Linked DNA regions of Lytechinus pictus. The protein of the gene in region 1 purifies or fractionates together with the protein of each later gene. This does not show direct contact. Links are inferred from orthologs where the notes say so. Each region holds a gene or a part of one and is shown in the gene's direction. Other genes may lie near its edges.

Region 1 (8,119 bases):
TGAAAAACCTTCAAAGGGAAGGTTGTTCACATGTGACCTCACACATCTTTGTCGCATTACTAACGGAGGATCTCCATAATATTAGTGATCGTAATTTTCTCAATGTTTCTCCGATTTTTCTCAAACCTTTGATCATATTCTTTGAATTTTCTGTTTTCACACAAACCCACTTGTTCCAATTAAAGGTTTCATTTCCTTTAGTTACTATATGATTCCATGTAATATAGACTCGTGCCGTTGACATGTTCCGTTTCATTAGTCGTGAAAATTTTCATTCAGGCTAGGCATAGGATACAAACAATAAATATCTTCATGTATTATAAACATGGCTTAAAATATTTTTTCTCTTCTCTTTGTATTCTCTTTATCTGCAGATTGTCATCTCTTCAGCAAATTTGCTCCAAGCGGATTTCATTTGTGTATTTGTGTATATCATTTTTGTAACATAATGTACATTTGTTTTTATATTGAAAATAAATTACACTTATAAAAAATGGGGCAATTAAGGCATTTCAAAGAACTTAAATTGCATTATCACTTACGGGTGCCCCGTGCATCTTATTCTTTCAGGATTTTCTTTTACTACCTCGAGATTATATTATTTGAACGTTGACAACATTCGCTATAAAATATGCTATAATTACAATGGTTTGTACGTTTCTTTCATTAAAGTAGTGAGGTTTTAAATGTAGTGGGTGCTTTGAAATTGAGAGATCGACTTACAAGCAAGACCTATTACGTTTTGAAATTAATATAACCCCAATAGGTCGCAAATGGTATATTTTTTCAAGTATTCGTCGAAGATACATAAAACCCGAATTTGCGTATATATGTTTTCAAGTTCATCGTGATGTCTTGCTTGTAATGTCTGGAGTATTGCATTTGAAAGACACAAAACCAATTTGAGAAATCAAATCTACATTCAAGTTTATAAGACTGATATTGTTGAAACCAAAAGCAACAAGTTAAGCAAAAAGACGTTCACTGTTAGCCTGAGCTTAGTGGTTTCATCTAAAAGTCCCGCTGTTACTGTAAGGCATCAAAAAGTCTTACTGTTACTCAGAATTTTCGTAATGTGAACCTACTCTACAATCCATGAAAAATTTATAAATCTATTCACAGAACACACCAACTTGTAAGTCCCCAAGAAGAAAAAGAGTTGGTAAAAAGGGTAGGCTCTATTATTACTTGCGATATGGTTTTCAATCGGCAAAAATGAGGTTCAAAGAGAAGAGCGAGGGAATTGGAAGTGATATGGATAGGGCAAAAAGAAAAAAAATGTGTATGCCCAATAATGAGCAGATGAAGAATACAGATCGAGAGAGAAATGGGGTGGAGTTAAGAACATGAGAAACGAGGAAAAAATAAAGAACGAAAGAGTATATAAAATATCCGTATAATTATTGATGAATACAAAGTTCAAGACAGTACCCGGCACCTTTTACGCCCTCCTTTTATCAAAATATGCCCATCGTGATGGCGCCGCCTCTGGTGGTTATATACGGCATGTCCCAAAGATCTGCGTGGGTGATATAATAGGTTTCAATCGGCAAAAAGGTTGAAGGAGATGGGAGGCAATGTGTCTGGCCATGAGCAGAGGAGAGATACAGAGAGAGAAATGGGGGGGGGGGGGGCTCAGTTTATGATAGGATATTGGAAGAGATGAGGAAATCTGCAGGGGAGGAGTGGGTGAAATATAGAGAATGATAAGAACGGTAAAAACGAGGGGGGTGTGATTACGAACGAAAATATATAGAATACCTAGCTATCGTTTTATTGAGGAAAACAAAATAAATGACGGTACCCACTACCCCCTATCAACATAAGCCTATCGTGGTCTGGCGCCGCCACTGGTTATTATGCTTACCAATGATCATGCATGGACTGGGAGAATGCATGGATCATTCCTGATGCAAAGAAAAAAATGCTTAGTACCACATTGTCAGCCGCGGAAACTTGGGGGCGCTGGGAGCTCCTGCTGATCATTTCCGTTTTATTGTAAACGTCTTAAACGTAAATAACCATAGAATTGTTATATGTATAGGCCTACATTCTTTTCAACATGTTTTTTTATTTAAGTATTTCATCCAAAATCAATTAATACCAACCCCCCTCCCCTCTCACACACCAGGGGCCGCGGAAGCGGGGGGGGGGGGGGGCTTCAGCCCCCCCCCACTTTTTTCCAAAACCGTGTACAAAAACGTAAAAATTACCATATGATTGTGATTTTTTGCATGGTCAGCCCCCCCCCCCCCCACTTTGAAAACCGTTCCGCGGCCCCTGCACACACACACGTATTTCACAAATCGTTCCTCGGGTCTAATTTTCTACTTTGTAATAATTATGTTTGTACCGTCGAGATGGATATCCACCTCTATAGTGGTGTACAGATCGGGGTGGGGCTTCTTTCCCCCCCCCCCAAAAAAAAAAAAAAAAAAAAAAAAAAAAAAAAAAAAAAAATCATGACGAAGGAAAAAGAATAATGTATGGTAAGACATTTCTCAATGACTGGAGAAACTGAGCACGGCAATAATGAGGAGATGCACTGTAAAAAATGATGTGCTAATTTAGCACTTACAGTGCTTGTATAGTGACTGCACTACGAGTGCTGATTTTCTAGCTTAAAGGTCAAATCCACCCCAGAAAATTGTTGATTTGAATCGATAGAGAAAAATCAAACAAACATAACGCTGCAAATTTCATCGAAATCGGTCGTAAAATAAGAAAGTTATGACATTTTTAAGTTTCGCTTATTTTTCACAAAACAGTGAAATGCACAACTCAGCAATATGCAAATGAGAGAGTCAATGATGTACATCACTCACTATTTCTTTTGTTTTTTATTGTTTGAATAATACAATATTTCAATTTTTACAGATTTGACAATACGGACCAACTTAACTTCACCATAAACTGTTAAAATAATGGTAATTCCACATGTTCAGGGAGAAATAAAACTTTGTTGCACTTGACAAGGAGGAGAAAATTAGAATATTTCATATTTCATATAATAAAATACATAATAAATAGTGAGTGGGTGACATCATCAGTATGCCAATTTGCATACCGACCAGGATGTGCATATAACTGTTTTGTGAAATTAAGCGAAACTTTAAATTGTCATAACTTTCTTATTTTACATCCGATTTTGATGAAATTTTCAGTGTTTTGCTTGTTGGATTTTTCTCCTTTTTTTCAAATCAACTTTTTGTTGGGGTGGACTTGTCCTTTAAATTTGAACTACAAAATCGGCACTCGTAGTGCAGTCACTATACACTGTAAGTGCAAAATTAGCACTTCATTTTTTACAGTGTGGAAATGGGCAAGTCCAAGAATTCTCGCGCGTTACGTATGGGACATTTCAGAGGTTTTAATGACCTGAAAAATAGTGTTAAATGACTTTGATTAGACTGAAAACTCAATTTATATCCAACCCAGGGGCAGATCCAGGATTTTCAAGGGGGACATTTTTGTTTACAAAAATTTTGACAAGCCCCACCCCCAAAAGAGTCTTCACTTTCACTGACACGTGCCTAACAATTTACACTAAAATAATATAAACATTATAATTGCGAGCGCGAAGCGCGAGCCGAATTTTTTTTTGAAAATCTTAACCTAAAAACGATATATTAATTTTGTGCACTTAATTATGAGTAGGATGGGTATATCTTCCTTAATAAATTATGCGAGCGCGAAGTCCGTCCTCACTATCGGTACAGAGAGCTCTAAAAGTCGCATTGCGTAAAAATCACAATTTACCGATAAGTGTACAGTTTAATTGACATTTACCGACAAAGATGGTGGAAATAAAAAACCGAATCAGTTGGAACAGCCCGGCCGTGTGCCCGACAGTTATGATTTTTCCGACAGTCTGCAGTCCAGTTTTTGTTTTCCCTTTCTTTTGAACTCTTTCTTCTTAAAAAAAAAAGCTTTATTTGGAAAAAAAAACAAATACCCTAAATAAGTTTGACCCCGCGTTGCGTTGGGCCGCTGCCTAATATTGGCCTGTCCAAATTCTGATCAATCTCATTATCATCACCATCTCATAAGGGATAGTCCGGGCTGAAAGTATTTATAGCTTAATAAATAGAGTATATAATTCACTGAGCAAAAAGCGGCCGAAAAATTCATCAAAATCGGATAACAAATAACAAAGTTATTGAATTTTAAAGTTTAGCAATATTTTGTAAAAACAGTCGTCATGAATATTCATTAGGTGGGCTGATGATGTCACATCCCAACTTGTTCTTTTGTATAATATGAAATTAGGTTTATTCAAAAATTTTCCTCCAAGAACTAAAAAATTGGATTGACAACTGATTTCGTGCATTAAATATTTATTGCTGCAACTTATTTCATTACAAGGTAGACATATTATCTACACAAGTATGAAATAATGAAAAAAAATTATGATTTTATATGTAATGACATATAAGAAAACGGAAAGTGGGGATGTGACATCATCAGCGTATCTAATGAATATTCATGACAACTGTTTTCACAAAATATTGCTAAACTTTAAACTTCAATCTAACTTTATTATTTGTTATGCGATTTTGATGAAATTTTCGGAATTTTGCTCAGTGAATTCTACTCTATGACAAAGATATAAATATTTTCAGCCCGGACCATCCCTTTAAAGCGCCTTATCTTTCTTTTTTTTTTTTGTCCAATATCTTCCATTTCGATTTGATCTTTCTTGTTTTTCTACTTCCATGCAATATGACCATATTGCTTGAATTGTAATAGGTACGATTTTGGATGTATTGGAAGTACTGTGGCTTACTGTACAGTGTGATTTTGGAATCATTTCATATTTGGAGGTAGGGCCTATATGGAAATTGGCTGAAATAAATTAAATGAGACTGCAGTGCACAAATACGTGTATTTAAAAAATGATACGATATGAAAAGAAAATCAAATCTATCATTTTCCCTACATATTTAAGACTACCGTACCGTATAGTATGCGAGCTCGTTGTACGTGCCTCGTTCATAGGCCTCGTTATACAATATGCACACACAGCTGTACAGTGATATGATACACACGTGCATATACATAAATGTGATGCAATTCTGTGCTGGACGTGACTGCACTGGTTTTAATTACAGAGACGGATTTTGAGATCAAATTCCACCTATCTTGATCTTAAATAGTTCTTTTTGTGACGATTGCATATCAGTAAAATATATATTTCACCATTTTTAGTCGCTTAAAGATTACAGGAATTGATCATTCGCTATTTAGACAGTTTTCTTGCGAAATCTACACAGTACCGTACCGTAGACGTAGTACGAACTACGACTCGTCGCACTCGCAACACAGACGAGGGAACAAAATGGCAGCAGGTTTGAATCAACTTTTCTCCAGGCTAGGAAGTATTGGTATTGGTGTTGCAGTTGTAGGAGGCATTGCAAATTCGGCCTTATATAATGGTGAGGAAATCTATGATGAGATTATGTTTTGAGTGAGTGTGAACATGTTGAGTCTCGCTTGGTTGCGAATTGTGTTACTGTGTAGTGTGTGAGTCAGTGAGCATACATTGCATGGTCATGGAGTCATGGACATGGTGACTCTGACGTGAGCTGGGGCCCGTTTCTCGACAACACCGTCATAAGTCTAACTTCTTGACTATTAAAATCGGAGATAGTGAGCTATTTGTCCGCTAACCGTTTCACAAAGCCCTCTTTGCCAAGATCGGGTACAACAACAACCTCACTAAGATAGAGTAAGATTTTATGACATCTCCGAACCTGTCACAGTGTCAGTGTCAACTTCTTTCTTGACTTAAGTTAGAGTTAGACTTAATGACATCACGATCACGTGGGTAGACAAAGTGCCTAGAAATTTGAAAATTATGGCCTTATCCTGAAATAAGTCACTTCTCTTCTCGTGTGTGTACAAAGTCAATGGGAGAGGAAAGAAGTCACCGCCGCTGACGAAATGAATGGCAGTCATGGCAGTGAATGGAGTGGTGACTTAAAGCAAATCATGGGGAAATCAATCAAGGCTAATCTAAAAAACAGAGAAGGGATTCAAGTCTTTCGCTCGGCTGCATGCCTGGGGTGTTACGTAATAGACGCCGGCGTGTCTGGGAGGTCTAATCTTAGGAGAGCAATAGTCATGATAGTAGACTAACCAACCAGAAGTAAACTGCATGTTTTCACTTTGAAACATATAATAATGTAACTCCACAGAGGTTATTCATTTTGCTTTACATGTAGCAATCAAGAGACCTGCTAAAGTGCTATGAGTCTAGGAATTGGGATTGTTGGAAGCTAGAACTGCGACGACCCGAAGTAAATAACCCTCGCATCGGTCAAATTCGTGTGCTGTCCGAATTTTTTCGCATTAGACCGACAGGCGCTCATGACGGACAGATTATATTATGCAAGTCAATTGGCCTTTTGCAGATTTCGTATTGATTCAATTTCCCCATGATTTGTCAGTTGCCAGGCCCTTTAAACCAGGATAACGCCAAAATTATAATCTTACGTAAACAATCATAGAGCTTGAAATTACATCACAAAACAAGTGGGAATGTGGGATAATGTATTCAATGATAATTGTATAATACAAAGAAACTATAAAAACTGTTGGTATTAAAAACGCCACAAAACCATTCATTGTGAAATAAAGATTCTACCACGTCAGTGTTAAAGTCAGGCTATCCATAACTGAAAAGTCTGAACTCGTATTTGTCGTTTTCAGACCTCTAATAACATTTGGATAAATTATATCTCTAATATCTATGCATAGAATTTGTCAAATCGTATGTTTCGGTATGATATATTTTGATGATGGTATCATAAAAAAAGCTGTATAATCATCATTATACAAAGAAAACCATTATCATGGTTTACTTTCGTAAACTATCAAAATTTGATATCCCGGGGGTACCCATCTCAACGTCCGCATGTGATTTTTTATTCATGAAATGAATTACATGTATTCATAATTTCATTTTTTCAGTAATTGAATGTTCCAATCTTCATGGTATAAGTATGTATGATGTATAATTTACAATGTACCTCTGCTATTATTTTGAAAAGATGTATTTCCCAATTCATCAAAATATTTGCAATTTTGTAATTGTTCTTTTGAAAATTATTATTTTTTTATTATTTTGTGACTAAGGCTACGTCTCGTCTGTTCTTTTTACCGATAGTATCGATATCAAGCTATTTTAGTTAGGAAGCCTTTCGTGAAACAGGTTTAGTAAGATTGGAGCTAACTCCGTGGTTGGTGGATAAAGATATGACTTCTTGTCCAGGTGTTGAGAAACGGGCCCCTGAGTGGAGCTGGAGTGACTTCGTCGGGCTCGGCTACCTCAACTCAAGTGATGTTCGTGCAGGCTAGCCTGGAGGCTTCTGGAGAGTAAAAGTCATTTACTGACGTACTGTAGGCTTACTCTCCATGAAGCCTTGGTCGACATACCATTAGCTTGGTCATGATACAGTCCCAACTCTACGGGAAATCAAGTTTGATTTTCACGGCAGTGGGGACAGTTTCAACAGTAGCTATACTGTGATACAGTCCCCTCACCATGGGATACACAGTTTGTTTTTGCACGCAGTGGGGATAGCTCTAACGGTACATTACACTTGTGATGCTACAGCGTGCTCGGTCGGCAACGGGATGGGGACAGTTTCCCAATGTGACAACAAGGAATGATCGAGAAAGAAGAAGACAAACTTCGGGGGGGGGGGGGGTCTCACCAGAAAAAGTGTGCCCCTTCAAATTAAATCACTGTAGACTCATTCAAAACATTTGGGTACAGTATTATTATCATTATTTATTATCATTGCTATTATCATCATTATGATTATTAATGTATCATTATATTATTATTATTTCTATCATTCTTTATTATTATTCTCTATCATCATCATTATCATTATCATTATTGAATTTTCATTATAATTATTATTATTATCATTATTATTGTTTTATTAATTATTGAAAAGTGTGCTCCTGGCCTTCCGTTCATCCATTCCATTCCTTGTTTTTATTTACATGTAATTCCTTCGAATTAAAACACAGTAGACTCATTCAAAATGTTTGGGTGTTATTATAATTATTATCATTATCAATTTTATCATCATTGTTATTATAATCA
Region 2 (8,068 bases), on another chromosome or scaffold:
CAAAGCTTAAAATTGAATGTACGTGTAGTTATCATCTGCTACACACACAACTTGAGTGGCCAGATTTTATATCAATAAAAATAGTTATGCCACTGGGTCTGGGATATTTTTTTTAGCTTCTTACTATTCATATTCATCCCCTGTATGCTTTTGAACAAGGTAAAATACTGAAACACATGATGATACTTCTTGGGACCTGCTGAACTTGCTACAATGTATTACAGTTTAAACTGGATCGTACAAAGAATTGTACATGAGAGCAGACTTTTGAACTGCCCAAAGGCTTCCAACATCTGACACCAAGACAAATATTTAAATCATGCCACATCTAACATCTGATGCAAAGTAATTATTTTGTTGTTCAACAGTTTCCAATTGTTTGCACCTCTCCCTCCTTGGACACAGAGGAGGAAATGTCTTTTCACTTCTCACCAGTCACTTTGGTAGATGTGTCTCTGTAGTTGGTGAGATCTTCACCGCTAACAAGGACAAGGTCTGGGCATTTGATGAGAGCATCCTTGATGTAGGAAAGCTTAGAAACCCCTCTGGCTCGAGCAACATAGTTTGTGGTCACGACAATATTTTTTTGTTGGATCCCTGTGTATGATTAAAAAGGCAAAACAGTAAGATAGAAAATGCAAAAAATATCAATTATTAGTACATGTACATGAGAAAACTTGTAAAAATGTGCCATATTTTACCATCAAATGGGAAACAAATAAAGTAAACTGAAGTCCTGAATATTTTTTTTAATAAATCAAAATTCACAAAAGATCAGTTGGAATTGAATGATTTCCCCCTGATTTTTTTATGCAATCATTTTTTATTTTTATTTACCCCATCCCTCTAGCTGTCTGTCCATCAATCTATGGTATCAAGCGAGCTAGCAATCCATCTATAAATTCTGTTCAGTCATTCATTCATTCTTTCTTTCATTCGTTGTCTAATGGGGGTTGGAGCTTTGTATGTACATACCTAATGGTTTATCTCTCAGTGCTGGATTCCGAAGCATCTCTACTTGGGCGTAGAAACAATCTAGATCAATGTGAACAATCGTCCTGGAATGACCAAGTTTGGACTGTAGACAAGGCTCATTTCTATGACCATCTATTGGGAAATTTTACCAGGTGGGTGTTTCATAAAGCTGTTCGTAAAGTTACTCAAAACTTTACGCACGACTGGAACATGTTCTTATGTCCTACATGAATGACATAGGGATGTATCATTTAGCACAAGAAGGGGTTACCAGTCGTGCGTAAAGTCATTCGTATCTTACGAACAGCTTTATGAAACACCCACCTGGTAGAGTCTTTACAACAATGTACATATAACCTCTACTCCTGCATACTAGTCATCAATTATTATTATGAATAATGAAATAATAATAACTTATATCTATAGAGTGCTCATTTACAGGGAAAGTCCACCTCAACAAATAGTTTACTTGAATAATAAGAGAAAATAAACTTCCTCTGCTCAATCTTCATAAAAATTGGATGTCAGTATTAAAGATAAAAGAGATATGAAATTTAAAAAAAATTGCTTAATTAAAAAAAAGGTAATATACACATCCTGGTCATTAAGCAAATGATGAAATTGATGACATCACCCACTCACTATTTCTTTTGTATTTTATCGTATAAAATATGAATATTTTAACTTTTTTTCTCCTTTGTAACTAAGTTTGATTTTCCCCTAAAATTACAAGTACTTTGATAAAGAGTTTCTTCAGTGTCAAATCTGCAAAAACTTAAATATTAGATAATTCATATAATAAAATAATAATTAGTGAGTGGGTGACATCATTTACTCTCTCATAAATATCACTATGTTGAGTATATAACTGTTTAGTGAAAAATGAATCGTAAAATTTCTTATCTTACATCCGATTTTGATGAAATTTTCTAAGAGTTGTTTTCTTCTACTTTATGCAAATCGACTCTTTTCATATAAATGAGTCTCAACAGGACAACTCTCCCAGGAAAGTTGCTACCTAAATCCTATGAAAAATCCTCTATTTTTATGGATCTTCTAGAGCAGAGCTCACAGGGGACCTGATTTTTGGTCCAATGTTTTCTCCTTTACAAAAAGTGAGAAAACATTATAAACACCTCAACACATAAATGTCATTTTGGTATTACTGTCTTGGTCTGTCTATAATAAAAAAAAATATCATAAATATATACAAGATAGTTCATTGTCCATGATGAATATGAGCAACACAGAAATTTTGCTCCCAGAGCCATTAAAGCATACGTTTACTTTAATAGTCTCATAGTAATTTTGTAAAGTGATAACAAGAGGTCAACTTGATAATACATTTTCTAATTCTATTTATTTGAAAACCATACCTAAGGAAAAAATGAAATCTGATGACTAGGAAGTAGTACTTTAAAAGCTACTGTTGATTAATTACCAGTTAAAGATGACAATTGTGTTTTCAAAGAAGAGGCTTTGGTGCTGGGTGAACCAATATCTGACGGCATCCTCCAATCAATGTCATCTTCCTCATTGAGTGCTTCATCTTCAGTGTCATCCTGTTCTTCCCATCTCCCTTCCATATTTGATCTATGTGACTGGGAAAAGAGAGATAATAAATAGCAACAGGTGGAATGCCCCTGGCAGTCTTTCTACCATTATTCAATTCAATAATAGACCACATAGCTGTAGATAATTGAGTCTTGAGAATACAGATAATTACCAGTATTTTTTTTTCAAATTAGGATTTCTATCATCACGGGAGAAAGTTCATTATTTATACCAAATGTCATACTAGTTAGTGTGAATGATATCACACAGGTAAATATGGTCTTCAACTCTATAATATTTTGAACCAATGTTTTTTTTACACAAAAAATTTGGCAATTTATTGAAATATTATTCATGCTAACAAAATATATTTGTTATGAATGACTTCATTTCCAAGAAGTTGCAATTTAGGAATATTGCAACAAGTAACATTTAAAGTAAAAATGAACCAGGACCAGAATCCAAATGAAATCTCCATCTTAATTGCTGCAATTGTTTTCACCTGATTTGAATCAGTTTAATTCAATAACCTTCCCTCCTCCTCATAATAATGTGCAAGCAATTTAAGTTCATTTCTTAGATCTAGACTCCAGAACCCTTAATACAGTAGAATAACTTTCATTTCCTTTTCAAACTTCTTGTAATGTAAAATGTAACTGGAAGAATTAAGTCACTTCAAGTACTGTAACCAAACTGGTTTTAGTCATAAGTTTTATCTTATACCCCTTTCATAAACCCAATAAAACCTATCCTCCATCAATTAGCCGCCTAAGAGTAATGCGGATAATTCAATAAAAATTGCGTTCACAAACTCCGAAAATTATCCGCATTATTTTTACGAGCGCCCGTCCTGAAAAAGGCGGATAATCGTCATGACAACTGGACACGCGCCCTCCGATGCGGTTGTGTTGGAAAAGGGTGACCTTGTGACCGCACCATGGCAATTATCCGCATTATTTGGAAATATGTTCATAAACTCAAAATCTTGTCCCGATGCCGCTATTATGCGGATAATAGCAGCATCAGAATAATGCGGATAACTCTTGTCCTCCTCGGATTTTACGACCAAATTATGCTGCTATTAGCAGCATAATTGGGTTTTATTGGGTTTATGAAAGGGGTATGAAATAAGTGAGATAAAAATTGGAGCAAACTGGAAATCAAAGATTACAAATTGAATTTAAATTTGAAACTTGAAAGTTATGAAAAAGAAGCCTTTTTTTTTTTACTTCAAATGTTAATTGTTTAGGAAAGAAAAGACATGACATAACCTTCAATCATTGTTGGTGACTCTTCATGCCCACTCCCCCCCCCCCCCCCATCAAAATATCTGCATTCCTGGGAACGATTTTTTAGAGGAGGTGCTACCGGAAGTTTAAATTTGACAAGCAATTAAAAGAAAAAGAAAAAGAAAAAAAGGTGGTCACTACAAGTACAAAATAAAGGTGATTGCATTTGAACATCCTCCGTAAAACGAACTAGTACTAGTAGATCTAACGTACCCATATCCAGGTCATTGAATGAGTGCATTAATCCAACATGTCCAAAGACCAAAGCCAGTTTTAACAGAATTAACAAGTCAATTGTCACATGAGCAAATGTCGCATTATTATTACTGAAATATGCTATCTTGCAAAAAGCTGTATGGCAGTGAGTCCAAAGACCAAACTTCGCGTGTGTCCATACTTCGTGAAGGTCATTATCTCAAAAACTAGCCAATATCCTTAAAATCTGAAATCAGCAACATGAAAAGCGACCTAAAAATAAAATTGCCCTTTGGCGTAAGTTTCTTCAGGGTGAGTTCAGTATTCATGAAAATATTGATAAAAGATTGGCAAATTTAATTCCAATGGATCAAACCAAAGTCAAATTTTCTTTCTCATTAGTACAATTACAACCACCATACCGTACATGATTGAATGGGCATGCATGTACTATGTCTTGTATTGTGTAAGATTAAGAATTTTTGAGATTTCATCATATTATTATTAAAGACAAAGTGAATATCCTTGCATAAATATCAATTTCAAGATGTTACCTATAACGACAATGATAAGGAGGACCGGGGCTCTTCAACGAACTTCACAGGTAATGTAAAATTACTGCAATTTTTTATGAATCCTGAGCGATGGTTGTGGACTTGTGGAGCGAGCGTGTGTTGTGTCATCTGCCTGCTGAGCTGGGCCGGGTGCCGTTCAAGCGCCCAGCGCAGCCGGGGCGTTGAGGCTAGTGGCGATGGCCAGTGCTAGCTACATGTAGCTGCTAAACAGCTCTACTCCTATAGGATGGGGGATCGGGTGTCCGGACACTTTATATTTTTGAAGCCTTCTTTTTTGTCTTAAGATTACACTAAAAATATGAATTCAATAGTTGTAATCATCTTCTATTTTGTTCTCTATAATATTTTCTAAATTTTTTTACTAAAATTTGATGAAACTTCGCTTGTAATTTTTTCCAAATGACTTTCTAAAATTGATCGTCCGGACACACAACCTGTCCGGACACACAACAACTGGGTATACTATAGCTATCGGCTCTCGCCCCGTGCGCGATTTTCATTGCAAGCTTTGCAAATAGTAGTAAATTTCACGATTTTTGTTTCAAACTTTTGTTTTGCCGCAATGTTTTTGGCAAAGTTTACAGTTATTTGCGAGGTTCATGATTTTCATCGCAAATTTTTATTTTACAATCGCAATTTTAGAATTTTTACTAGCTCGGTGAAACTTAAACTTAAAGTAAACTGTGAATACCGGTAAAAAGTTAGACCTCTACTAATTCTAAAATGACTCAAATTTCAAACCCAATGGCTAATGCTTGCATCAGGTTTTGTCCTTTAGCCTAGGGCCCGTATCATTTTATGAACATGATGAATGTTTTGTAATTATAAGTAACGTTAAATCTTTAAAGACAATTAAATTTGAAGAGAAAAAAAGTTGTCACTTGATATTCTTGACGTTGGATTTCTAATTTCAGTTAATTCCTCATTTCTAAATTCTAGTGAGAGATGAGATTAATCTGTGTAAATTTTTATGTCTTACATGTCTTAGGCATAAGTGGAAAATTTGAATCTTAACATTAATTTTTTCATTGACAGAGACTTCAGCAGTGTGTGATTACCCAACATGCAAGGTGCGTTTCAAGTGGTGCAGTGAACACAGTTATCCTGTTTGTACCTCAGCAGGAAGCATGGGTAGTGGAGAGGATGGGCAGGTTCTACAAAACTCTTCAACCTGTGAGTTATTGTTGCCTATTTGTATTAGTATCCAAATAATTACATTGAGAGGGGGTGGGAGTAGCCAGGAGGCTTCTAGTCTAGAGAGTAAAAATCATTTACTAATGTATGCTTACTCTTTACGAAGCCAGGAATTCCTTCCTATTCATCTGCACGCACCAACCAAAAACCTGAAACTTTCGCCCCCGAGATTTCTACTTCTAAAAGATCTAGCCCTAAATCATGTTCATGGGATACAACTTCATTTCCGACATTTCTACGCTTTAATTTTTAAACAAGAATTCATAAAAAAATGAGAAAAATACGAAAAGACGGAAGAGACTTGCCCGATGTTTACGCCGCCATCTTGTTTCCTATTGTTCTTCCCCAACGTGACGGACGCATGATGAATTCTTGTTTAAAAATTAAATTGATAGCGTAGAAATGTCGGAAATGAAGTTGTATCCCATGTACATGATTTAGGGCTAGATCTTTTAGAAGGAAAGTAGAAATCTTAGGGGCGAAAGTTTCAGGTTTTTGGTTGGTGCGTGCAGATGAATAGGTAGGAATTCCTGGCTTTGTGGAGAGTAAGCATACGTTAGTAAATGATTTTTACTCTCTAGAAGCCTCCTGGCTAGGTAGGAGAAGATAATGCAAGGAGAGGCGGGAAAAGAAGAAAACGAAAGAGAAGGAGGAAGTTGGGTGTTTGAGAGAGGTGGAGAAATGGGAAGGGGAAGAGGAGGATATGCTGATGGGAGGAGTAAGAGGAAGAGGAGAAGAAACAAGTTTTTAAGGCATTAGCTTATGGAGTTATGCACACATTTTTATAGTAAGTTGTTAGATGTGTATGTACTTCATATCCTGGGATAATTCTATTGTGAAATTTAAAAAAGAATGCTATTTTAAATCAAGAACACATTGCTGATGACACTAAGGGTTTGGTCAGGTGATAGATTGATCAGTGAAGTACATCAATTTTTTTTATTAAAACTTTTGGCCCAAGCTCTATATTTTGAACTGCAATTCCCATTGTGATTTATTGGCTGCTGAATGGTTCACTGGCAACATTTATTTACAAGAAATCATTTTAAGAATGTTTTTCTTTGCAGGGATTGAATCTACTGATTCCAGTGCTTGACAAGATCAAGTATGTTCAGAGTTTGAAAGAAATTGCTATTGACATTCCAGAGCAAAGTGCAGTGACTCATGGTAAGACTTATTGTTTTATCTTACTATATCATACAATAATTGGCAACTTGGTTGGATATATATGTTTTCAGGATCAAAGATTTCAAAATAAGAATAACAAGACAAGAGTTCTTGAAGATTATAGTTGCATGGAGTTGTAACAAATTTACAATCTACTTAAAAAGTGTGTATAATTGAACTTCTGATTTTTATCATTAACTGGGCGAAACGTTGATAGCTATTCAAAAAGCGAACACTTAATCCTATTTTATTTATTTCCCTTTTATTTTATATAAAGATAATGTGACACTAAGGATAGATGGAGTTCTGTATCTAAGAGTCATGGATGCGTACAAGGTAATATCTTACTTATTGAAAATATTGATGATTAAAAGATTGGGGTATTTTACTTACGTATTGACAAGTCATTTTGATCTCTTGATCTGTATGGTGACTGTAGATTACAAATAAATTCCAGTTGTGTTAATGATTACAAAATTAATTCTGTTAGTATGTAATGAAATTAGTGCTTATTTGTACATGTATAAGAAAGTAAGCATGGCGTTCTATCAAAATATGACTTTTTCCCAAGTTTGCTTCTGTGTCGCAGATTTTTGCTATATTTCTTTCCAGATAACTTTTTTTTTTAATGGCGTGCTTGCAAAATTATTTTTTATTTCACAGTCACTCTCTCAAAATTATCAATCACACCCTATTTAAATCTTTTTTTTTTTTTCACAGCTTTGCAAAAATACAGCATTACTACAATGCGTATTATACACTAAGAAATAAAATGAATGTCCGGAAATATAAATAGTGACATTGATAAAATTGTAATTTTATTGATATTGTATTGTGAATTGTGTTATTCTTTTAAAATTCCTTGAAAATAAACTTGTCATTCTAGGCCAGCTATGGTGTTGAGGATCCTGAGTATGCCGTCACACAGCTAGCACAGACAACAATGAGATCAGAGATTGGTAAAATATCTCTTGATCATGTCTTTAAGGAAAGAGAATCTTTAAACATCAATATAGTGGGTAAGTCATGAGAACCCCTTTACACAACACTTTTTATTATTTATCACGTCACCTGCTACTGTTACATTTGTAAGCTACTGAGAAGAGCCAATTTGATTTG
Region 3 (7,839 bases), on another chromosome or scaffold:
CCCCTTGGCCTTGTCGAACGAGCACGATTTTATGTTGTGAGGGGACGGTATCATGAGTATAATATACTGTTGGAGCTATCCCCACTGCGTGCAAAGTGAACTTGATTTCCCGTAGAGTGGGGACTGTATCACGAGTATATATAGGGAGAGAATCCAAGTGTAAGTGTGTTATCATTTCGCAAGTTCTCGAGCGCGAGCTGTGCGAGAGTTGGGGACTGTGTTCTGGAGAAAGGAAGTGATTTTCTTGCGTTCTGGTAGGTGTGATTCTAATATTAATAATCCCCATTTTTGGATTTGGGGACTATATCACGATTATGCCCAATATTGGCCGTGCGCCTCTAGTCTACTGTACATGTGAGGAAAAAGATACTGGCCAAAAATCACCAATTTTGAGGATAACCGGAGGATGGACACGGAGTGAAATACGGGTGTAGAGTAAGAATATTTATTTAAGTCATTCATATCCCTCGTTATATTTTTTTTCTTTAACTTTTACGATAACCATGATTGCCATCCCACCTTATGACTCGGAATATCCGATCTAGTTGAAGTAGTTCACTGTCCCGATGTTCGGGTAGGTGGAGCGTAGTGTAGCGCCTAGCCGCTGCGGTAGTGAAGTGGAGTGGAGCCTGCGCGAACATCGCCTGAGGCTGAGCCTGAGGTACCGTACCGTACCCGGTAAAAGGCGGTATTCGTTAATGACATGTCTGTGCAAGTTTTATATATGATGATGATAGTAATAATATTAATAATGATAATAATAATATTGACAATATAATAATAATAGCAATAATAATGATTAAATAACAACAATAATAATGATAACAATAATGATAATTATGATTAAATAACAATAATAATATAATGATAAAATGATAATAATGATAATATAATATGATAATGACAATGATAATAATAATTCCCGAAGGTTTTGAATGAGTCTTCCTTGTCACGTTACACTGGGAAACTGTCCCCATCCCCTTGGCCTTGTCGAACGAGCACGATTTTATGTTGTGAGGGGACGGTATCATGAGTATAATATACTGTTGGAGCTATCCCCACTGCGTGCAAAGTGAACTTGATTTCCCGTAGAGTGGGGACTGTATCACGAGTATATATAGGGAGAGAATCCAAGTGTAAGTGTGTTATCATTTCGCAAGTTCTCGAGCGCGAGCTGTGCGAGAGTTGGGGACTGTGTTCTGGAGAAAGGAAGTGATTTTCTTGCGTTCTGGTAGGTGTGATTCTAATATTAATAATCCCCATTTTTGGATTTGGGGACTATATCACGATTATGCCCAATATTGGCCGTGCGCCTCTAGTCTACTGTACATGTGAGGAAAAAGATACTGGCCAAAAATCACAAATTTTGAGGATAACCGGAGGATGGACACGGAGTGAAATACGGGTGTAGAGTAAGAATATTTATTTAAGTCATTCATATCCCTCGTTATATTTTTTTTCTTTAACTTTTACGATAACCATGATTGCCATCCCACCTTATGACTCGGAATATCCGATCTAGTTGAAGTAGTTCACTGTCCCGATGTTCGGGTAGGTGGAGCGTAGTGTAGCGCCTAGCCGCTGCGGTAGTGAAGTGGAGTGGAGCCTGCGCGAACATCGCCTGAGGCTGAGCCTGAGGTACCGTACCGTACGTATTCGTTAATGACATGTCTGTGCATGTGTGTGCATTCGAATTGGCGTGTATTCAGTAAATCTAAGCTAACTTAACCTAAGAAATTTCAATTGAGTCGGCACTGGTATTTACAGTTCTATGTTGATAAGATTTCCGAGACATCTCACAAGGCACAGGTTCTGGTAAATTTGAATTTGCGACCGGTGATTTGGGGTTAGTGGTAAACACGACGACATTCACAGCTGATCAACATTTGATTTTGGTGCCAATAGATAGTCTTAATCTATGAAATATTATTTATTCAGATAAAGAAAATAAAATAAAAACTAGTACCGGTAGTTTAATAATGACCCAGTACCAATAGAATTCAATGAAATTATTTCAAAGATCATTAAAAGTCGATTGTGAAATAACATTTACTAAATATTCTGTACAGGATTTACAAATTAAATTACAAATTATCATAATAAAAAAAAATTACAGGGTCTTTAGCCGATTGCAATTCATCTTTAAAGTTAGCATCCCAAACTACGCACTGCTAGAATGACGATCGTTTTGATGATCTCAGAAATATTTAAATTTCAAATTTTCATTTTAAAAACGGCAGGAGCCGCGAAACAGGGGGTGGCTGGGGGGCTTCAGCTCCTCCTGTTTTTTTTTTCCAAACCCGGGTACAAAAATGTAAAAATTACCATCCCATAGTGAGTTTTTGCATGGTCATGCACTTTTGGCTCAGCCGCCCTCCACTTGGCTCAGCCGCCCTCCACTTTTGGCTCAGCCGCCCTCCACCTTTGGCTCAGCCGCCCTCCACTTTCAAAACTGTTCTGCAGCCCCTGAAGAGTGAATCTTTTTTTTATCATTTAATGAAAATTATATTTCAAGAAGTTTTAAGTTAGCATGCATTTGCAAACTAAATATTAATAAAAGAAATCCACACATGTTATATGAAAGAGACAGATAAAAATATCGAAACTTTATAAAGTGGGAATGGGGGAAGGCCAGATTTTTTTTTTTTTTTTTGGGGGGGGGAGCGGGGGTCCAAAAATAATAAAGACCCCGGACATAATCCTGGGGACTTAAATTAGGCACGTTCTCATTTATGCAGAGTTTTCGAAGTGTGCCCCTCTTCCCCTTTTAAACTCACTATGGACCTTTTTTGCTTGTAATTATATAAATGTGATTTTAGCTTAGTATAATTTACATATATAAAAATCGTGCAAAGTGTTTTAGGGCTCCTTGAAAATTGTTAACCATATTTTTACTGTATTTAGTATTTATATTTATTTATATATATATATATTTGATTTGTAACTTAATATGTGTGGATTTTGATCAATAAATTTTGAAACTTGAAACTTGTCGAATTTTCCTCGGGAAAATGTACCCCCTTTTTGGAAAATCCTGGCCTCCACTGATTGATTGCATGGTGGAATAATTTCCAAGCTACTTAAATGACTTATTTCCTCGAACTTTGTCAGAAAGCAATTATGGCTCAAATAATCACTATATGTGATGAAGTACAAGTTCCCTTCTTGCATAAAATATAGCTCATAGGAATCAGGGTCGTCCTGATTTCTGGAATTTTTTTTTAATCTTCCCGCTTTTTTTTGGATGTCCAATATAGATCATCTACTAAATTATATACCCATATTATGCAAATTTACTGGCTAAATGATTGCAGGTATTATCAATGGACACATGGCCTTGGATCGAGGCTTGGATCCATGCTTGGATGCACGTATTGACCCGGGGGGGGATATATATTCACGAAATAAGGCATACGGAGATGTGCCACTGGAATGTGTCGCTTTTTGGAAAGAAGTCCCTAACATGGGGTATGGTTTTATGCTGGAAAATCCCTAAACATGGCCCCAATTTTTAGATACTGGCCTTGAACATGGGTCCATATTACTCCAAAGTCTAAGGTGCACGAAATGGGTGATAACCTTTTTTTTGTTGTTGCTTGCTTGTCAAATTTTCCAGGGAAAATCGTGCCCCCCCCCCCTTTGAAAATCTTGGATCCGCCTCTGTAATAAATCCGTAATATAAATGGGTACCTTTTTAGCCAAAATGACCCGTAAATATCATGGGTATGGGTTTTGAGCCTTCAGTCGCACACCCCCGTCCAAACCAAATGTAAGTACCCCCCCCCCCTCGGGAGTATTGACTGCCAAGTTAAGTGATGCCATAGAGGTGGATTAATCCACCACTATGATGAGTGATGCCCATCTCATTGGTCTAAGGCCCCGGTCTAAGGCTAGGTTTAGATTTTTGTGCCCCTCCCCCACCCATTTCTTCTTTTTTTTTTAATGTACAATTATGCCAGATAAAAAGTAGCAGCGCATTTAAAATATATAGATTAAACGTCTGCCAGTTTCAAATATCAAAATTATACTTTTAAAACTATAAAACAGAATTTAACCCATTTAAAATTGCCATCAGTAGTCCAAGTAACATATTGGCAACGCAAATGAACCATCGGAATATTGTCTCTCATTTCTACACATTGGAATTAACGCACACAAAATTTGACCAGTCAGCGTGCTCCACGCGATAATTTTATGCGATGTTTTTTGCATGTGACGATACGATACGGCGTTCATTACCGATTACCGGCGCCGGCGTGAAGGTGAGAACACACCCCTTTTAATATGAATTTGTGTATGAGTGTAGCTGAAAATGGCATTGAAAACATCATCATTTGTATATACCTGTACATAAACCAATTTTGTAGATTCTATTCTAGGAATCGTGCGTTTTAATCAAATCTTAAGTCGAGTGTAGTCGATCATCTTTTTGTGTGTAGTCCCATGTGTAAGAAATGGATGTGGAATTTAATTTGTTTGTCAGTTTGTGCTTGTCATGACGTGATCATGCCAGACAGACTTGGTCTTGAGAAATCGAAGTTGCCATGTTGATGAATGAAATCTTGCTGTATGTTGGTTGGCATAATCGTGATATAGTCCCCAAATCCAAAAGTGGGGATTATTAGAATCACACCTACCACCAGAACGCATGAAAATCACTTCCCTTCTCCAGAACACAGTCCCCAACTCTCGGACAGCTCTGTAAAACTAAGACTGTAGCAAAATGATATTACACACACAAATGAAACACACACTGTAGTGTATATAAACACTTGGGTTCTCTCCCTATTAATTTATTATATACTCGTGATACAGTCCCCACTCAACGGGGAATCAAGCTTGATTTTCACGGCGGTGGGGACAGTTTCAAGTATATGTAGCGGTCGCGCCCCCAGCTTGACCACTAGGTTGATACCTGAAGCTAGAATATAAGGAATAAGTCACTAACCAGTATTTTCCTGGAGTGATGTCCTAGTTCCTGTCTATTCCGTGTGAGTTCAGCTTCAAATACAATGATCCAAGGGATCCAACGTCCTCCAGCGTCTAAAAGGGGTCCAGCGCCATCTCCCGGTGGAAGACCTATATGGGGGGTGGGGTGACTTACTACAACAGTCCCCCCCGTTCTATAAAACTCGGTCCCTCGAGTTTCCAACCCAAATGGACGCTATCCAAACCAGACACCAGGCAGAGGGAGGAAAAAATTCTCCACTCCCTAGGCACCCCAACCAGGAGACCTTATCTCCCGGCTGGGCATGAGTAAATACAAGCCCATTTAAAAATTCCCTTTGGTCTTTTATGTACACAATGCTCCTTAAAATTTGGCAAAAAGTACTTATGCAGCATTGTTCTGTCCCAAGTCTGCATTCCCAAAATTAATTATAATTTGCTACCCGTAATCAGCCATAAACATATTCCGTTCTTTTATAAATAAAAACTCCAAAACTATCCAAAACACTTGGCACAACTGTGCTAAAAACTTGTTCAACACTTTAAACTTTAAAAACCCGTAACATGAAAACGGTAAAAACCCGTAATAACACCTAAAAACCTAGAGTTTTGAGGTTCTTTAAAAAACCCATACAAAACATATAGAACAATGGTATATATATATAAAAATATAAAACCCATACAAAAACCCATATCCCAGGAGGGTCCCCCCTTCCCAGAAAGCTCCACTTTCCCATAGCAGTGGGCTGCCGCTGGCCCTCCCCTGTCGAGGCACCATCTTACCCGGGCTGTGCAACACATAGCATTCCCGTTCGGTTGAGAGACTGGAGCACCAGTACCCAACCTAGGTCCCCCAGGTGCAGGAAGGGGGCGTCAGCGCTGCCATTATGCGAAAAGGGCCATTTAAAACACTCCCCTCCAAAGCGGACCATGAAGCATTTCCTACATGGCCTAAATATACAAAAAAGATAGACGAAAACAACGAACACAACAGACACAAAGAGGAGGCGACTCGGCTGGTCCCTCCCGTACAGAAAAACATATAGGGTCCTAAACGCGCTAAGCTAACCCAAAAATGCAAAGGGAATCGAAATCCCTTCGTGACAAATGGAGGACAGATCTCCTCCAGTCCCTTTTTTCCTCACTACACCCCATAGAGTGCCAGATGGTTAATCCTAGCTCGCTCCATGAGGGTGAGAAACCTTATCCGCCAGGCTGAGGTGACAAGCTCTCCCACCTCGCTAGTGAACCCAGGGTAGGATCCTTCTCCTGTTCCACCCGTAACGGGTCGATGGGCAGCTGCCCATCGGTAACGCCCACTGGCCTCACCCTGACCGACTTGTACTGGACTGGCTCCACCTACAAGCTGAACCATTAGCCCCAATAGTACGGCTGCTTGCCTGTAATTCGGTAGAGGAACCGCGATCCAGGTGAACCCATTTTTCAACAGGGAGCGATCCCGTCTCCCTTCCCTTCAATTTTTCAGTTTCCCCCAACACCTCAGAGCAGGTTACCTTAAGGTGCCTATCAGATGGGTTCTGTTTTCCCAGCCCTGTAAACCGAACCGGGAACTAGGAGCAGTAAGCCATCCTAAGGGTTAAACATGAAATCCTCTAAACGTTGGTCTATAATGCCGGTGATCCGCTTGACTGCATTCGGAGGAACAATTACCCGCTTGTGCAAATGAACCCGGGCAATCTGCCGCCCAGGGTCATCACTATACCAAAGTGGAATCCTCTGACCTCCCAACTGCATATGCGGATCTAGGAGGTGAATCGCAGCCTTGCGCTTGCTGAGGAAATCTAATCCCAGGAGCATATGATCAGCTATAGGGGCTACATATACTTCCTCCGAGAATGTCTGGTTCCCAAGCTCTATGGAAAGGGGACCGACAATTGTCCCTCTCATCTTCATATCCCGTCCCGCTGCATGTAGGATCACTCCTCTCAGTTTAGGGGGCTGGGGGTCCAGTGACTGCAGGAGCCTATCCGAGATGATGGACACCTCGGCTGCGGTATCGACAACTGCGCTTACTGGCTGCCCCCCTATAACAACTGAGACCTTGAGAGTAGAGCGCGACTCCAACCTACATACCACTACCTCTTCAATCTCGCTTGCACACCCAAGCCCTGGGAGAGCATCTGGAACTGATTCCAGAATGGCTTCACCCAGGTCTGATATTCGGGTGTTCGAGGGACCAACTGGATCCCCCGCCGCAGCCTCTACATAAGTAGCTATTCCGGTTACATTATTCCCTGGGACTATCAGGCGCTCCGACACGCCCTCTGTTATTCCTTCAGATGAGCCTACGGATGGCCCCTCTGAGCTGCTTGCTAGCTTGGAACCCTCTATTTGGCCTCTGGCGGTGGGGGCCGGTGGCTGGCCAGCTCCTCCGACCCGCTGGAGTTTTCCTCCTCCTGGTCCCCTACAAAGGAAACTTGTACCTTGGCCCTGTTTTCCTGGACCGAAGGACAATTGTTCCTGTAGTGGCCAATCCCGCCGCACTCATAGCACCGGTCCCGACCGGGTGACCTCCCGCGTTCACGCGCTGGTTGGGGCCTAGTCTGGATAGCCTCCAGGACCTTCTTGAGGTCCCGTTCCAAACCACCCAGACGCTGCAGATCCCGCTCGATGTGGCCCAAGCGTTCATCGGTCTTGCGTTCTAGGTTCACCAACCTTTGCTCAAGGGCTGCATTGTTCCCTTGGGGTAGTTCCACCTTACGGACCTCCCCTTCATTAGCCTTAGACACTGCCTTGGGACGCCCGTACATTGCGCGGTGCACGTGTTGGTGCCACTCAATATACTTAAGCGCCTCATTAACAGTAGATGGATTACGCGTAAGCGCATGGCACCCCGCCTCTCGGTTGAGGGCGCCCTGGCACAAGCGAAGG
Region 4 (7,921 bases), about 7.1 Mb from region 1:
AGTTTTTTGAACTGCTTTAGGATATATTTCGATGAGCTTTCAATAGCTTGCACTGCTTTTCTTGTAATAAAAGAATGATACAAATTGCCACCTCCCTATAACAATAAGGGGATCAATAGGACGGGAAGTCTATTGAGAAGTAGCCAGGGACAATTTCAATAGAAGAGTTTAGTTCATTGTCAGTTTACTCTTTTTGAATGCCCCATTTCAATCCTAAACTGCTTAGCTCATAATGACCATAAAGACATGGATTTGGTATGTAATGAAAGCTAAAGAACACATCTTTTCAATGGACTAACTTAGAAATTTAACCTTCATTAGGAAGTATTGAATATAAGAGGTATAAAATACCCTCCTAAACGAAAAATTGGAAACAGAATGTAAAGTTAAAATTCTCAACATTTATGATTTTATACATAGCAAAAATGATACCATTGGCAAGAGTATTAATTTCTCTAAAACTTTGCTACACAATTTTTTTCAATACAACAAACCAGTAAAAAGTTATTGTGAGTTGAATAAGACAGTGCACGCAAACCCCCTCTGAATGTGGCACCCCAAAATTAATGTGGCGCAGAGGGGATAGTGTACGTGGCGGGCAAAGAGTTAAATCAATTTTTATGTCGGACAAGGGTCTCTTTCGTTGAAATATCAATGAAAGGTGTCTCTAAAAGGACACCGTGTTCTAAATAAGTGAAATAATGAAAATTTCGATTTTATCCAGTTATGTTTGTGAATCTTGAAAGTTTTTTGTCTCACCTGCATAGCAGAGTGAGACTATAGGCGCCGCTTTTCCGGCGGCGACGGCGGCGGCGGCGTCAACACCAAATCTTAACCTGAGGTTAAGTTTTTGAAATGACAGCATAACTTAGAAAGTATATGGACCTAGTTCATGAAACTTGGCCATAAGGTTAATCAAGTATTACTGAACATCCTGCCTGAGTTTCATGTCACATGACCAAGGTCAAAGGTCATTTAGGGTCAATGAACTTAGACCATGTTGGGGGAATCAACATCAAAATCTTAACCTAAGGTTAAGTTTTTGAAATGTCATCATAACTTAGAAAATATATGGACCTAGTTCATGAAACTTATACATAAGGTTAATCAAGTATCATTGAACATCCTGCATGAGTTTCACGTCACATGACCAAGGTCAAAGGTCATTTAGGGTCAATGAACTTTGGCCGAATTGGGGGTATCTGTTGAATTACCATCATAACTTTGAAAGTTTATGGATCTGATTCATGAAACTTGGACATAATAGTAATCAAGTATTACTGAACATCCTGTGCAAGTTTCAGGTCACATGATCAAGGTCAAAGGTCATTTAGGGTCAATGAACTTTGGCCAAATTGGGGTATTTGTTGAATTACAGCCATAAATTTGAAAGTGTGTTGGTCTAGTTCATAAAACTTGGACATAATAGTAATCAAGTATTACTGAACATCCTGTGCAAGTTTCAGGTCACATGATCAAGGTCAAAGGTCATTTAGGGTCAATGAACTTTGGCCAAATTGGGGTATTTGTTGAATTGCCATCATATCTCTATAAGTGTATTGGTCTAGTTCATAAAACGTGGAAATACGAGTAACCAAGTATCACTGAACATCTTGTGCGAGTTATAGTAGTTTTCAAAATCAGCACTGCTGCTATATTGAATCGCGTGATGCAGGTGAGATGGCCAGAGGCATTCCACTTGTTCTCTTTTTACCTCATAAAGTACGCTCCATACATCAATTCTACAATCAGTAATAAATAAAACATTATTTGATCCCCTTTTATTGAAATATATGATTTTATGAAAAGTCGTCATTCCGAAATAAAAGGTTCAGGTGACGATGAAGACTAAATATTTTTCCGATACTATCGATATCAAATGATGTCGCGGACTTGAAAGACAAAATTGCCTTCGTGAAACGGAAAGCGCTGATTTGTCGCCAATCTTCCTATCTCGGAAGAATGGTCCTAGGACGTTCCTACGTAACGCTCATCTCGTCATGCAACAGGCCCCAGGGTCCCAAAAAATAAAGAAAACATTTTTAAAAGGCTCGAGTTTGTTTTGCTGTCCTTGTTATCCCCCCCCCAAAAAAAAAAAAAAAAAGTGAAGGAATGAAAGACAAAAAGAATAAAAGAAAGGAAGAATAAAGAAAGTATAGATGTGAAGGAAGGAAAAAAAGATCTAAAGAAGGAAAGGAAGAACAAAAATTAGAAAGGAATGAAGGAAAGAAATGAAACATAATAAAGAAAGAAAGCTTAAGAACAAAAGACAGAAAGTAGTGAAGGAAAGAAAGAAGAAGCAATTAAAAAGAAAGGGTAAAAACTAAAATGAGATGGAAAGAAGGAAAAAAGAACAGTAGAGGCGCACGGCCAATATGGGAGACTCTCCAATAGGGGAGACAATCTCCCACATTGGAGACTTGCTTTGCAAAAGGACAAAATTTTGTCTCACTGAGGTCATAAGCCCATTTGTTTTGTGTGTGATTGACAACAAAATTCCTTATCAAAACAAAAGTAGACGGTGAAAAGGGGTAATTTTTCATGAGGAATCTGCTTATCACATTTTTATTTGCCGCCAAGGTAATCCTTTTGCAGCAAATGTAAACAAAGGAAATTGGATACCCAAATTCTTTACAAAAGTCTCTGTTAAAATGTTATTGGAGATAATCTCCCACAATAGAGACAGTCTCCAATATTGGCCGTGCGCCTCTACTGAAGAAAGAGAAAGAAAAGGTAAAATGATAGATAAAGAAGGAAAAAAAGAATGAAGGAAGCAAGCAATATAAAAAAAGAATGGATGAAAGGAAGAAAAAAAAGAAAGACAAAGAAAGGAAGGAATGAAAGAAAGAGAAAGGAAGCAAGCAGTAAAAAGAAAGAAAAGGTAAAATGATAGATTGAACGAACAAAGAAAGGAAGGAATGAATGAAAGAGAAAGGGCTGAAAGAAGGAAGAAATAAAAAACAAGAAAGGGTGAAGAAATGATGGATGGAAGGAAGAAAGTAACATAGAATGAAGGAAAGAAAGGGTAAAAAGAAGGAAAGAAAGAAAGAAGAGATAAATATAGGATGGATGGACTCAAGAATTAAAGAAAGAAATTTAAAAAAAAGAGAAAAAGAAGTAGAGAAAAATATTTTTGTGAAGGAATGAAAGAACAAATAAGGGAAATTAAAAAAGAAAGACAGTAACAAAAAAAATGAAAGAAGAGAGGGAAGAAACAAAGAATGAAAAGAAAGAAAACTGAAAATAAATTGTCAGTTTCTTTTTGGCTCAATTGAAATATAGCTACGAAAGAAAGTCAAAAACCAAGTGTATCAACACACACAAATGCATATATGGGGCTACCATGTATTCAGACGATATCACTCGAAGCCCGATCTATTTGAACTCAAAACAAGTGAAAATTTCTCCTTTTACTGCTTACAAATGACAGTTACCCCAATTTTTAGGAAATATGGACATTATAAGAGCTTTTCATGAGTGAATTTTGACAGTTCGGTGAGAGATTTCTGCCAGAGGTTAGCAAAGCTTCGTTCGTGCAGCCAGTAGAAAATTTACCATGTGGGCTGTGTGGCTGGCTTCATGTACACTGTATGTAATACCCAAGTAAAAATTACATGCGATTCTGTGTGTATTCTGTGTGTGAATAACAGAAATTAACGGGAGGAAAATGGTTTGCAATGTGAGTCATGGAATTATGTTTATGTTGGACCAGTGAATTTGACCATTTCTGGAAAAGTTACTGGCCCAACAATGGTTTGTATTACTGGTCCCATAAATCTTGCTATTTTTGAAATAATTACTGACCCAACAATGATATTTTTTACTGGTCATGACGGACCAATAAATCTTGCTATTTCTGAAAATCTACTGGCCCGACAGCGATTTTTACCCGTCTGGGACCGTCGGACCAGCGGTAGTGTCGCGTCCTGGTATAGGTACCAATACCATGGTCTGTGTATACTGTATGGGTGAATACCGGTAGAGAAAAGTCCCCAAATACCGACGAAAATGACTTCAACTCCCTCCCCATCAGTACCTCTAGCGAAGTTCGTGCAGGCTCCACTTCACTACCGCTACACTACGCTCCACCTACCCGAACTTCGAGACCATGAACTCGATCTGATATTTCGAGTGACAAAGGTGGGATTTTATGGGGGGGGGGGAATATAAAATTCATGCAACATCACGATCTTTAAAAACAATTAAAACTAATATTCTTACTTTACAAAAAGTTTCACTTTTCCATGCTTCTATCAGTCTCAAAATTGGTGATTTAGAGTCAACATGAAGTTCCTCACACGTATAAATAATTCGCTGCTGATTTCAAAAAATCGCATGCGCGAGGGTTCGAGCCAGTAACCCCTGTGTGGTGAAATAACATGATTGATTGCATTTATTTTTCATTCCAAAATTTAACAAAAGTTACAATGTATAGCAAAACACAACAAATATAATATACAGAAATGAAAAAAGGGAACCCACTGGAAAGCAAAGCTTGTTAGTATGGGTTCCCTGCAATAAATAGTTAATTAAAGTATATCTTTGATCAATGAAATTAAAATAGTAAATTAAAAAGGTTTGTACAATGAAAAAGAATACTAGTGGGGTCAAGCTTTTTATGCCTACTCACTATGTTACATGAATAAGATTGTCGATGTTTGGCTTATTTTGCGTGATTAATAGATGGGCTGGATAATAAATGTTTGATTTTTTGGCACGTTAGTTTTTAATACAGTAGGGATAACTTATATCTGAATTCATAAAAAGAAAATATGCCTTGGCCCAAAACTCAATAGAAATTATTTTTTGTCTAAATAAAAGGAGAATCTGTGGAGATGAAGATCTGCATCAATCTCACTTTCCACCAATAGAGGGCCTCACAAATATATGCTCAAAATAAAAGTTTTTTGAGAGCTCTGGTGAACAAGAAAAATTTAGTCTATATATAGATTTAAATGAAAACAAATCACACCTGAATGAAACTGGGTGGTTTTTTTGTCACAAAAGTGATATTTTAAAGACCTTTTTGTTTATTTTTAATTGATAAATGAAGGTAGACTACATGTAGGTCATCCCCTGGTGTGGTAATGAGGGTAAATTTGCTTTAAAAAGTGTAGGGAAATGCTACTTTTACATGATGAAAATGCAGAGTCCCTACTGTTGGAGAGGGCCGGACACCCGCTCGCCGCCCTCGTACTTTGATACTGATTTTTTATTATCAAAGGTTGGCAGGTATGTTTTAGTGCAATTAGCCCCAGGCCTTATTTAGAATCAGGGGTGTGAGAGTTCAGATTTTTTTGTTTTGATTTTCAGCTTATTTTTGGCCTTCCTCTGTACAAAAAGTATGGGAGCTCTTTCAATTTCAGACTTTTTCAACACTCTTCAGCTTTTTCAGATCTTTTTATTTGTGACCACTCACACCCCTGTAGAATGCAAATGCGACATTAAAGAGGGTGTTTCAACGCCTACTTTGATACGGGCATTATCTTGGAATAGGTTACCACCGCACCGTTCACTTCAAACGGCAGCGCTTCAGGCTTTATTAAAAAGTAACACACATTGGCAAATGGACTGGTCCCTTATTTCCACCTCCTTTGCCTTTGGTTGAGTCCATTCACATGTACTAGTGTGCATGCACAAATTTACGAGTGGTTCCCTAAAATTATGAAATTATGCAATTCAACATTGGGCTTTCTTATCTCACCAAAGTTTACTTCTTAAAAAAAAGAGATGAAATTTTGTCTTCAAGGGGGACCCTTTCTTGGACTTGCCCTGGACAATTAAACTCCATTTCATCATAAGAATCATGAGACTCTCTTTCGTTAAGAATGTATCACTTATCACTAAATCAATCTTATTGCACATGTACTTAACCTGATAAAGGAAAACTTCTTTTGAAACCTACATGTTATATCATTATAAAGCTAGTAGGTCTTCAGTTTCATCATGATTTGAAAATAATCCAGGCTTGCCTTAAACTAAACAAAGTGGAGAAACAGCAACTTTTGTTTGATGAAAATCATTATTTAATAGCATGTTATGGATTCATAGTTTCACATACACAAGAGTTCTTGAATAGATTCAAACATATGGCATGAAAGAATTATCCTTTACAAATAGTCAAATACCAAAAACATGAAATGTGATTAATGTTGAGAGCAGATATAATTAAATCAAAAGTGGTGATTTGATCTGCACACAGCTCCTTAAAATATGCAGCATATTTCTAGCACAGGGGGGGGGGGGGGTCACTCTTCACATAGACCGCTACCCACCCATGTCCGACAGCCTCAGAAATGTACCCTTAACGGCGTAACTACATTTACTCATTTACTCAATTTGCAACCCTAAATGGCGTAACCAATGAGAAAAGCCACCCTAAGTGGCGTTAACAGGGAAAAGCCCCTAATTCGATACCCTAAGTGCCGTAAACATATTAATTTGATACCAAACTGATTACTGATGTTAAATGAATGTTACATACAACAGGTATAAGTTCCCGGCATTTTTTTTATTATTGCAAGTAAGGCCAGCATAATTTACTCTCAATGACACCTCTCTTCACTTTGAATAGCCATCTTTTAGCCTAAATTAATGAATGCAAGTGAAAAATGTTGTTGCCTTGACTGACTGATGCTTCACTTAAACCATTCATTTTACCAATTTCATCAAAACTTGAAGAAAAAAATGGAATCCATACCAGTTAATGTGTTGAAAAATACATACATTAATTAAACCTCTATATATCTTTTTTTTAATAATGATTAAAAAACAAATCATAGGAATCCCCGGTATGAATCAAACAAAATGGTATTGACTAAAGGCCTAAACCTATAGGCGTGCTGCCTATGGTATAGAGCCGGAGGTACGGAGGTATTCTCTCATAAGTGATGCGCTGGCCAGCGTGTGCGAGGATTATGTTGTCTCCCTTAAAATCACACCCTTCATACTGTTTATGGCTTAGGTCTGCTCCCAAATCTTCTCAAATTTGCAACCCTAAACGGCGTAGAGCTTTTCATATTTGCACCCCTCAATGGCGTCATCTTCATAACCAAATTAGCAACCCTAAATGGCGTGAAGAGAGAGAGAAAATGCTACCCTAAACGGCGATTTACCAGCGAATGGTGCTGAAATGCAACCCTTTTTTCCAAAGACGTCGACGACGCCTGAGTGCCTGAAATGGGACCCTTTTCTACACTTTTTTTCTGGACGTGGGTGCGTAGCAGGCCATGTGGAGAGTGACCCCCGGGATTTCTAGTCTTCAATATTAAAGAAGCTACATTTTTAGGACCTGCCTACGGATTGCGTTTGGGGCTTTGTTTCCAATTTTAATTGAAGAGGTTTTCACTTTATATTTTTGAAATATTTGAGACAGAAATCTTACAAAATCGACATTGGCTGAGGCACTCATATTATATTGCCCAGATGTGCAGATCTTAAGCCAGGAGTTGGTAAACAAAGCAGAAAACCTATACCCGATATTTCATTTTCCATTGATAACTTTATAAGTGATGGGAAATTGAAAGTACTGTTTTTATGTTAGATTGAAACCATTGCTTTGGTCTTATTTCACAGAAGCTAGAGATAAATTGAAGAAATGGAGAGAAGACAACACAAGGAACAGCATTGAGACTGTTGAGCTTGGACAGTATTTGCTGGATAATTATCGCCGAAAACTTGGGGATGAAGGTAGGCTCCAATTTTCTTTTATTAAAAAAAAACATCATAATACTGTTCCAGATATTTTCAGGATTTACAAAAGTCAAATCCACCCAAGCTTAAAGTTCATTTGACATGGGGAATGTGGAAATGAGAGCTGATGATATCACACACTATTATTTATTGTAGACTTTTTCAATTTTTTCCAGACTTGACAATAAGGAAGTCCTTAATGGAATCACAATAGTTCGCAAAAATAGCA

The links. Proteins that work in one complex are often made in the same cells at the same time.
Region 2: the proteins of prohibitin 1-like (region 1) and stomatin-like protein stl-1 purify together in Homo sapiens (affinity purification with western blotting; 3 studies listed by BioGRID, with this or other methods). This does not show direct contact. The link is inferred for Lytechinus pictus from reciprocal best matches to the Homo sapiens genes PHB1 and STOML2.
Region 3: the proteins of prohibitin 1-like (region 1) and calnexin-like purify together in Homo sapiens (affinity purification with mass spectrometry; 3 studies listed by BioGRID and IntAct, with this or other methods). This does not show direct contact. The link is inferred for Lytechinus pictus from reciprocal best matches to the Homo sapiens genes PHB1 and CANX.
Region 4: the proteins of prohibitin 1-like (region 1) and ER membrane protein complex subunit 2-like purify together in Homo sapiens (affinity purification with mass spectrometry; 3 studies listed by BioGRID and IntAct, with this or other methods). This does not show direct contact. The link is inferred for Lytechinus pictus from reciprocal best matches to the Homo sapiens genes PHB1 and EMC2.

What each region holds. Positions count from the first base shown.
Region 1 is NC_087245.1:23,408,990-23,417,108, reverse strand, and holds the start of prohibitin 1-like, read left to right. Parts: upstream 1-4,742; 5' UTR 4,743-5,338; coding exon 5,339-5,435; intron 5,436-8,119.
Region 2 is NC_087249.1:20,892,040-20,900,107, reverse strand, and holds the start of stomatin-like protein stl-1, read left to right. Parts: upstream 1-4,431; 5' UTR 4,432-4,560; coding exon 4,561-4,617; exon of another isoform or gene 4,618-4,809; intron 4,810-5,623; coding exon 5,624-5,761; intron 5,762-6,849; coding exon 6,850-6,949; intron 6,950-7,226; coding exon 7,227-7,285; intron 7,286-7,835; coding exon 7,836-7,968; intron 7,969-8,068. Other genes in the region: DNA polymerase iota-like, read right to left, coding at 433-597, 976-1,107, 2,417-2,576, 4,032-4,046. UniProt on the Homo sapiens protein: Mitochondrial protein that probably regulates the biogenesis and the activity of mitochondria.
Region 3 is NW_026974140.1:13,618,136-13,625,974, reverse strand, and holds the start of calnexin-like, read left to right. Parts: upstream 1-4,202; 5' UTR 4,203-4,262; intron 4,263-7,839. Other genes in the region: coiled-coil domain-containing protein 138-like, read right to left, coding at 1,766-1,795. UniProt on the Homo sapiens protein: Calcium-binding protein that interacts with newly synthesized monoglucosylated glycoproteins in the endoplasmic reticulum. It may act in assisting protein assembly and/or in the retention within the ER of unassembled protein subunits.
Region 4 is NC_087245.1:30,467,899-30,475,819, forward strand, and holds the start of ER membrane protein complex subunit 2-like, read left to right. Parts: upstream 1-4,284; coding exon 4,285-4,300; intron 4,301-7,575; coding exon 7,576-7,689; intron 7,690-7,921. UniProt on the Homo sapiens protein: Part of the endoplasmic reticulum membrane protein complex (EMC) that enables the energy-independent insertion into endoplasmic reticulum membranes of newly synthesized membrane proteins.